2 linked regions of the Callithrix jacchus genome follow. The protein of the gene in region 1 purifies or fractionates together with the protein of each later gene. This does not show direct contact. Links are inferred from orthologs where the notes say so. Each region holds a gene or a part of one and is shown on either strand. Other genes may lie near its edges.

Region 1 (3,600 bases):
CCATCAAACACTGTGCTACATTTTTTGCCTGCTGATAATATGCATGGTTTAAAATGCAGTCAGTTACCCAGGAGATCTGAGAGAACTTCCATCCAGGGCCACCGACTCAACATAGCAGAGAGAGCAAGGAAAGGGACTATGCCTGGAGTCTGATGCCTGAGTAATGTTCCCAGAGTTAACTCAGTTCTTTGCAGTTATCTATCCTTCCTTCACTTTGGAATCCACGGGCTCTCAAGTCACTAAAATGTTCTCCCAATGGCTGACAGGGTCAGTGAGGGCACTGAGGAAGGCGGCTGCCATTTCTAAGTTGAGCAGCTGTGTTAGATCTGTGTCAGATTTGGAGTTTGTAGCCGAGGATGGCTGCCTCACCACAAGACCTTCCTTCCTCCCAATCTCCTCGCCCATCTACACACATGCACACCGTACCCAAGGTTTGCGGGACCCCCCCCTTGGAGTGTCACTTCCTGAACCCCTCCTTCACACAGACCTGGTTCTGAGCCTGGGTCTCTCTAACCCCAGTCTCCAGGGGTCCCTGCAAGAAGCAACCCAGTCTGGAGTTGCAGACACATCATCTCTTCACACTGACAGGGGGGGAATGGAGGGCTGAGCAGAGTGCCCCTCTGGCCACAGCACAGGCACACGATAAGTGGAACAACTCTGAAAAATCTGGGGTTTTTCACAATCCCCCAATTCCCTCCTCCCACTAGAGGCCAGCGCTAAAGCAGCCAAGCTCAGGCCTGGGAAGGCGAAAAGGCAGGAAACCAAGAGCTCCAGCTCCCTGATGCCACCGGACAGAGGACAAAGGGCTAGACTCCAAACTGGCTGCACTCTTGAGAAGAGTACCTGACTCCAAGGCACTGGGGCAGGCCTTTACGGGGCTCATCTCCTGGGAATGTGCTTCCCAGGGCAAGGGGAGTCCCTGCTCTGGCTTTGGGTGTCTGCCCACCCACACAGGCCTCCAAAACTCAGCTTTGGGACAAAAGTAGCAGCAAATAACAATAACAATAACAATAACAATAAACCAGCCACTGCCTTCTCTCAGGTTTCTCCAAACCAAACAAGACCACCTTCCTCCCTCTCCCCCAGAGGGAGATGAGTAGGCCGGGCTCTGCTCCAAGACCAGCCCTTCCCCCAACATCTGCCTAAGTTCTACTTAGGAAACCCAAAAGTTCCTTTGCAAATAACAGCCCAGCCTGGGGGCCCAGTTTCACAGACTGCTCTTTCTGGAGAAAGAGTGGTGGACGGGGACTGTCTGGTCAGGCCCCAAGTTCCCCGGCTGGGTGGGGGCCGCTGCCTTGGCTCCCCTCGCCGACGCCGCCACCACTCCCAGTGGTTGGGGGACCTGACGTCGGCACCGCGGGTCTCCAGCCCCCGAGGATTTTTAGGCCTCAGGACAAAGTGCCTGGAACACTCCCCCCAGCTGGGAGAGGGGGTGTCCTGTCAGGTGACCGAGGACCCGGATGCCCCCCGCCCCCAGTGACCACCCGAGACGAAGCGGGGGCGGGGCCCGGAGGGAGTGGATGAGAGCCGGAAAGTTTGCCCAAGTCTCCCGGGCGGCCGACCCGAGCGCGGACAGACGGGCCCGGCCCCTACCACCTCCGCTCGCGGCGGGCCCAGGCGGGAAGGGGGCGCACTTACTGGCCCCCTCGATCTTGTCGACGCCCCGGCTCCACGTGATCTGGCGCGTCTCCAGCTTGACCTGGAAGGTCTTCCGCTCGGGTCGCTGCGACTTCTTAGAGTAGAACAAAGTCATGACGGTGCCCACCTCGAGGCTGCGGCAGAGGTGCAGCACCTCGGCGTCCGAGGGCGCGCTGGGCCCGCAGCCGTTGGCGCAGGGGGACGCGGCGCCCGCCATGGCTCTGACGCTGGGGGCGGCAGCGGCGCAGGCCGGGACGGCCCGGGAGCAGGCGGCAGCAGAGGTTGGGGCAGAGGCTGAGGCAGCCGACGAGCGGGACCCGGCGGCAGCTCCTGCAGGCGGACAGGGGCGGGGCCTGAGCGCGGCGGGGCGGGGCGGCCCTGAGGCTCCGCCCGGCTAGCCGCCGGGAACAAAGGCGCCCGCGCACCCGTGGGGAGGACCCCCGCCCGCCGGCCCGCCGCGCCTGCGCTCCGGGACCCCCAGACAGGCCGCAGGCAGGGACGGGGGCACGATGGCGACGGGAGCGCGCGCCGTTCCCGGTCGACCCACCCAGCCCTCAGTCCCGCAGGGCTTCCTCACGCGGCCCGGGACACAGCTCGGCGGCCACGACCGACCCCGTCACGCACGGCAGCCCCGCCCACAGGCCGCAGGCCCCGCGGTCGGCGCGTCAGTCAGGCGCACTCGCACGGGCGGCCGCCAGCCCGCGGTTCTGCACAGACGCAACCCCCGCGTCCCGAACACCGCCCATGCAGCGACCGGGACGGGACGTGAGGGGGTGACGCACTCCCCGGGCATGCCTGGCCAAACCCAGTTACCTGGGCGGGCTTCCTAGCGAAGGGAGACAGGCCGGGCCGCTCACACCCGCGGCGGCGGCGGCGGCGGCGGCGGGTCCTCCGCGCGCCCTCTCCTGGGAGGGGCGGGGGCGGGGCCGCCTGCGGATTGGCCGCGGGCACTGATGGACAGCCAGCCTGTCCCGCCCCCTCCCCCTGGTAGTGCGGGGCTGGCCCGCAGGCCGCTCTTGCGACGACCTGACCCCACGTCTGTCTGTTTCGTCTCTGCTGCCAGGGTGTCCTTCAATGGTCCTCTCGTTCAGAGAGTTCCCCCCAAGCGTGAGCACCTCTTGTAGGGCCTTTAGGTCCGCGGCCGCGCTGTTAAGCGGCCTGACCTGCAGCTCCCAGGGCCTTGGTGTCTGTCCCTCGCATGGGCCGCTGCTCGCCCCACTCACGCTCAGTCCCCACGAGCAGGACTTGGGTCCGATCCGGGGCGCGGGCTCAGACCCTACCTCACAGCGTCCCTCCTGCAAATGCTCTCCTGAACTTTTATTTTCCCCGCCTTGCTTTCCCTTCCTGTGGCCGCTGCCCATCGATCTCAGAAGCTTCTGTTCCTCTGTACTCAGTGCTAGGTCAGATCCCAAGGCTACCTGACCTTTCCCCTGACTTTACCCACCACAAAGGCACCGATGACTTCAAACCTGTGGCTCCCCTACGTTCCACATCCCCGCTTAGGCGACTGACCTTCCCTCCCTAAAGGTTCCTTCCATAGTCTTCACTTTATCAGAACGTGGTGCTAAACCCCTCTACGTTGCAAGGCCAAAAACCTTGCAGATAACTTTGATTCATCTCTCTCCCTCACCTCCAATCCATCATGACTTGTTCACTCAACCCACAAGCTGAAGGCCCTATCTCCTGTCACCCAGACTATTTATTCTGTTTGGTCTTGCCTGGATCTATTCTCCATGCTTTAAAATTTTTAAATGAAATTAAATCATGGTCTGCTACATCCAGCCTAAAACCCTCCATGAATTCCCATTGCACCTAAAATCCACACTCCCTGCTTGGCCCAGCAGGTTCTATAGGATCGGTTTCATCTCTCACAGGTGACCCTTCACTCTCCAGTCTCCAGCCACAAGGCCTTTTTCTGGTTATGGAATAATTCGTACTCTGTCTTTCTGAAGCCATTCTTGA
Region 2 (4,023 bases), on another chromosome or scaffold:
GGGGGTTTTTAAGTAGTTTGCTCTATGAAACTCCTTCTGGCAGGTTTCTTACCATTTATTCCCAATTACCCAACTGAAAAGCAAACAGTAATTAGTCAATTATGTTTATTTAGAGGGGGAAAAAGCCAATTAAAAGCCTTTTCTGAATGAGACTTATTTAATGGCTAATAAAAGTATCAAATGTCTTAGGCAGAATCACAAACCTTTCTCAGAAGTGTCAGCAGAGTAGATTTATCTATGGAAGTCCAAATTCTGTAGCCTGTCTCTAAAGTCTGGAGACTCTACCTACTTGCTGCATTTCTGTATCATCCTCATGTTAGGCTAACTATGGCATTACTCCAGATTTCCAACATTAAATCATTAATTTCTTCCCTTCACGTTATTAGTATGAATTGACATCTTTGTGCAGGATTAACATTTGCTAGATCCCAGTGTCCACTGTGAGAAATGAATTCCTTACTTTATTGATTTTTGTGTCAAATCTAAAATATGTATTTCTTTATAGTCGCTTTACCATTAAAATGAAAGGGTATACATGTGAGATTCCACTTACTATCTTAATAGTTTATTATGAGTTTGTACTTAAGCTTTAATAATCCTAAAAGGTGTTTTTTTTTTTTGCTTTTGTTGAGGTTATCTCAATTCTCCTCTCACAAAAAAACCTTCAAGGACAAAACGAGATGTTATGAAATGCTACATAGGTTATAATGTAAGTCACTAGCAAAGCCTTCAGTTTATGTATGCACACTTTCTGTAAGGAGTATATAGTTTGTCGTTAGTACAATAGAAGAAATGACCAAGTATTTTCAAAGTTCATTTTGCAGAACATTTTTATAAATGTATTACAAAAGGGTATAACTGCTATGAGGAATAATTTTAGAAATTTAACATATTTTCCTTAAAATGTAATGAGCTACAAATTACCTATTAAATTATTACCTATTTGCAAAAAATACTTCTTAAAACATTAAATTCTTACCTCACAAGACTGCTTGCTTTCCATTATCTTTAAAATAGAGTCTTTCAAAGCATGATGAACAAACTGTGTAGCAGTGGCTTTCATATACTGCTCCATCAAGGTGCTTGCAAGTGTTGTGGCTCGAAATAGGGTAGTGGCTTCATCTATGCAAATATTTACATTAGAAGATTATTTGTTGAGGACTCAATGTGACCAAATTGGAAATTAAGTGAATTCATCTTACCTCAACAGGAACAGCCTTTTAAATGTACTTTTTGCATGCAACATTGAAGTACTAATTACAATGACATCCTATACTTCTACAACTTAACTCTGTAAGACTTTCAGATGTATTACCTCATCATATCATGAACAGGAGAAGAGATTAACACTGCATGTTTATATGGAAAAATGAAGACTCAGAATGGTTATGTGACTTGTCTAAGATCAATTAGCTAGTGACAAAATTAGGACCATAAATCAGCTGTGTTGTCCAAGGACCCCATGCTTTGAAATTTGGGTATTTATTTAGAATTACGAATATAACACAAAAAATCCCAATATAGATTCATTTATTAGCCTAAAACATGTCTGATGAGTTGCAGTAAAATTTTAATAAACGACAAATGCTGTCAGAAAAGATAAACTCAATGTAAAATAAGGACCACCATTTTATCTATTCCTTGACAAATTATATACCTTTATAATTTTTATGAGGAGGACATAGTTCTAAACTTTACTATTTGGGGAATCTAGAAGCAAGAACTGTTACTGAATCAAAGTGCTTGGTCGGAGGGGCAGGGAGAGGATAATTATTTCGATGTATTTATAAGTCATTAAAAACTGTGTGTCCATCAGCTTGGGAACTACCTATCTATAAAAGCTAGAAATAAAAGGCAGGTGACACCCAACTTCTGTGCAATGACGTAAAAAGTAAGAGAATATAGTTAAGTATGCCAGACTTTTCTTGATAGTCAAGCACTATGAGCCATCGATGTGGACACAGATACCACTTTCTTGGAGCTTCTAATACTCATCTGCCAAAACCTCCATTAGAAATATTAGCTCCCCAAAGTAACCGACATAAGCAGAACATCCAACTGCAATTTTTAATAAGGGAAAACAGATTAACTTGATTTGCATTTTAACAATTTAGTATATTCAGAGATAGAGTCCATATATGCGTGATATAAAATCTAAACCCAGTTTCTTAAAGTTTCACACTAACACAGCCATACTATACCTTCCATGCTTATTTCTCTGTCATTTAGTGTGCATAACAACAACGATTCAAGCTTTTCATGAAGAAAAATCCTCAGTAGGATGCTGGCCAGTAGTGTTCGGTCTTGTCCACATACATGTGATAAAGCATAGACTACATGAAGTTCCTTTTGCAGTATAAGCTAAAATGACATTTTAAAAGATGGTTTAAAGTACACAGCATTAAGCATTCTTTCTTTCATAAGTTCTTAATAATTAAAATGCCCCACTGAATACATTTATTTAAAATAGAATACATTCATAGTCTACCTATTTCTAGTCTAATCAAAATCACACTATAATACAAGGTTTTTAATCTTCTCTGGTGTCACTGTGCCACTAAGCTATGAATTACTATGTCTAGCTTAATGGATCTTTTATTAAATGTTTATGTTAATTCTAACAAAAATTAGACAAATAATACCTCTTTAAATTCACTGTACTCTTCTTCTGGCATGATTTTTTCCATAGAATATCGTGCTCGAACACGCAGGGACCCTGGTTCAATACCTTTTAATGGTATATGGGAGCTGAGCAAAAACCATTCATCTGTGGCATGCCCTTTCTGTAATCGGCTCAACTGGCAACGCATAAATACTTGGGAAGAAAAACAAGCAATTATTATCTAAAAAGATAACATGATAATTAGTCATGCAAGTAAATTTTCCTGGTGTTCAGTCTTCTCAATGGTGTTAAATTCTTTTCATTAAAAAAGTTTTCAGTAACATCACAAATTCAATATTTAACTGCTTCATTCATTTATTGAATGTCTACCATGCACTAAACTCTGATAGGTGGGGGAAGTATAGAGAAGATTCAGATGTGGTCTTTAAGTTGCACGGGGGTCAGTTTATTCCAGATGGCAAGAAATCAGTCATGTTTCAGCATTGATAAGTGCTGTTAACAGTGGTGAATGCTATTGGAATACAGAGAAACCATATCTAATTCAGCCTGTGGCGGTGAAAACTCCATTTTAAACAGGCAACCCTTAAGCTGCCAAGATCTGGAGGTATATCTAAGAAGAAAAGTCGTGAAAAAAGAACACTTTATATATAAGGCATGGCCTGCTTTCTTTGTCATTACTGTGGGGTTGGGATTTTATCGTAAAAGGGAAAACTAAAATTAGTACAAAAAAAATTACAGAATAAACATTTTATAGAGAAATATTTAGGCTTTGATCTGTCTGTTAATACATATCACTTCCTTCCCTAAGCCTGAGTTTTAAGAAGGCATTAACCTAATTCACCCCGATGTGATTGGTAAATCCCACTGCCAACTGTTTTAGTAGCAGGATGGAAAGAGTTGTGCTGCTAAGAACAGGAACTGAGAGCCTTTGACTACCAGAAGTGAATAAATGACATATTCAAGGTTAAGGGTAATTTTTAAATAGAATTCTTTTTTGCTTATATGCTAATGTAATACTAGCACTTTGGGAGGCCGAGGTGGGTGGATCACCTGAGGTATGGAGTTCGAGACCAGCCTGCCCAACATGGTGAAACCCCATCTCTACTAAAAGTACAAAATTTAGCTGGGCATGGTGGCAGGCACCTGTGATCCTAGCTACTCAGGTGGCTGAGGCAGGAGAATCACTTGAATGTGAGAGGCAGAGGTTGCAGTGAGCCAAGTTCCTGCCACTGCACTCCAGCCTGGGTGACAAGAGTGAGACGCCATCTCAAAAGAAAACATGAAAAATCTAAAAAGTAGAAAGAAGGGATGAGGGTAAGCCCTTCAAAACGACCACTGTAATCATTTTCTTATTCTTCCTATTCATTGGAGAAAGGAGGGTGGCTAGATATTTTAAAGTA

What was found.
Region 2: the proteins of PLCG1 (region 1) and RASA1 purify together in Homo sapiens (affinity purification with western blotting; 3 studies listed by BioGRID and IntAct, with this or other methods). This does not show direct contact. The link is inferred for Callithrix jacchus from reciprocal best matches to the Homo sapiens genes PLCG1 and RASA1.

Annotation. Positions count from the first base shown.
Region 1 is NC_133506.1:36,482,049-36,485,648, reverse strand, and holds the start of PLCG1 (1-phosphatidylinositol 4,5-bisphosphate phosphodiesterase gamma-1), read right to left. Parts: upstream 2,517-3,600; 5' UTR 2,452-2,516; intron 1,969-2,451; 5' UTR 1,856-1,968; coding exon 1,639-1,855; intron 1-1,638. UniProt on the Homo sapiens protein: Mediates the production of the second messenger molecules diacylglycerol (DAG) and inositol 1,4,5-trisphosphate (IP3). Plays an important role in the regulation of intracellular signaling cascades.
Region 2 is NC_133503.1:123,500,149-123,504,171, forward strand, and holds part of RASA1 (ras GTPase-activating protein 1), read right to left. Parts: exon of another isoform or gene 2,816-4,023; coding exon 2,643-2,815; intron 2,362-2,642; coding exon 2,202-2,361; intron 1,123-2,201; coding exon 980-1,122; intron 710-979; exon of another isoform or gene 633-709; intron 1-632. UniProt on the Homo sapiens protein: Inhibitory regulator of the Ras-cyclic AMP pathway. Stimulates the GTPase of normal but not oncogenic Ras p21; this stimulation may be further increased in the presence of NCK1.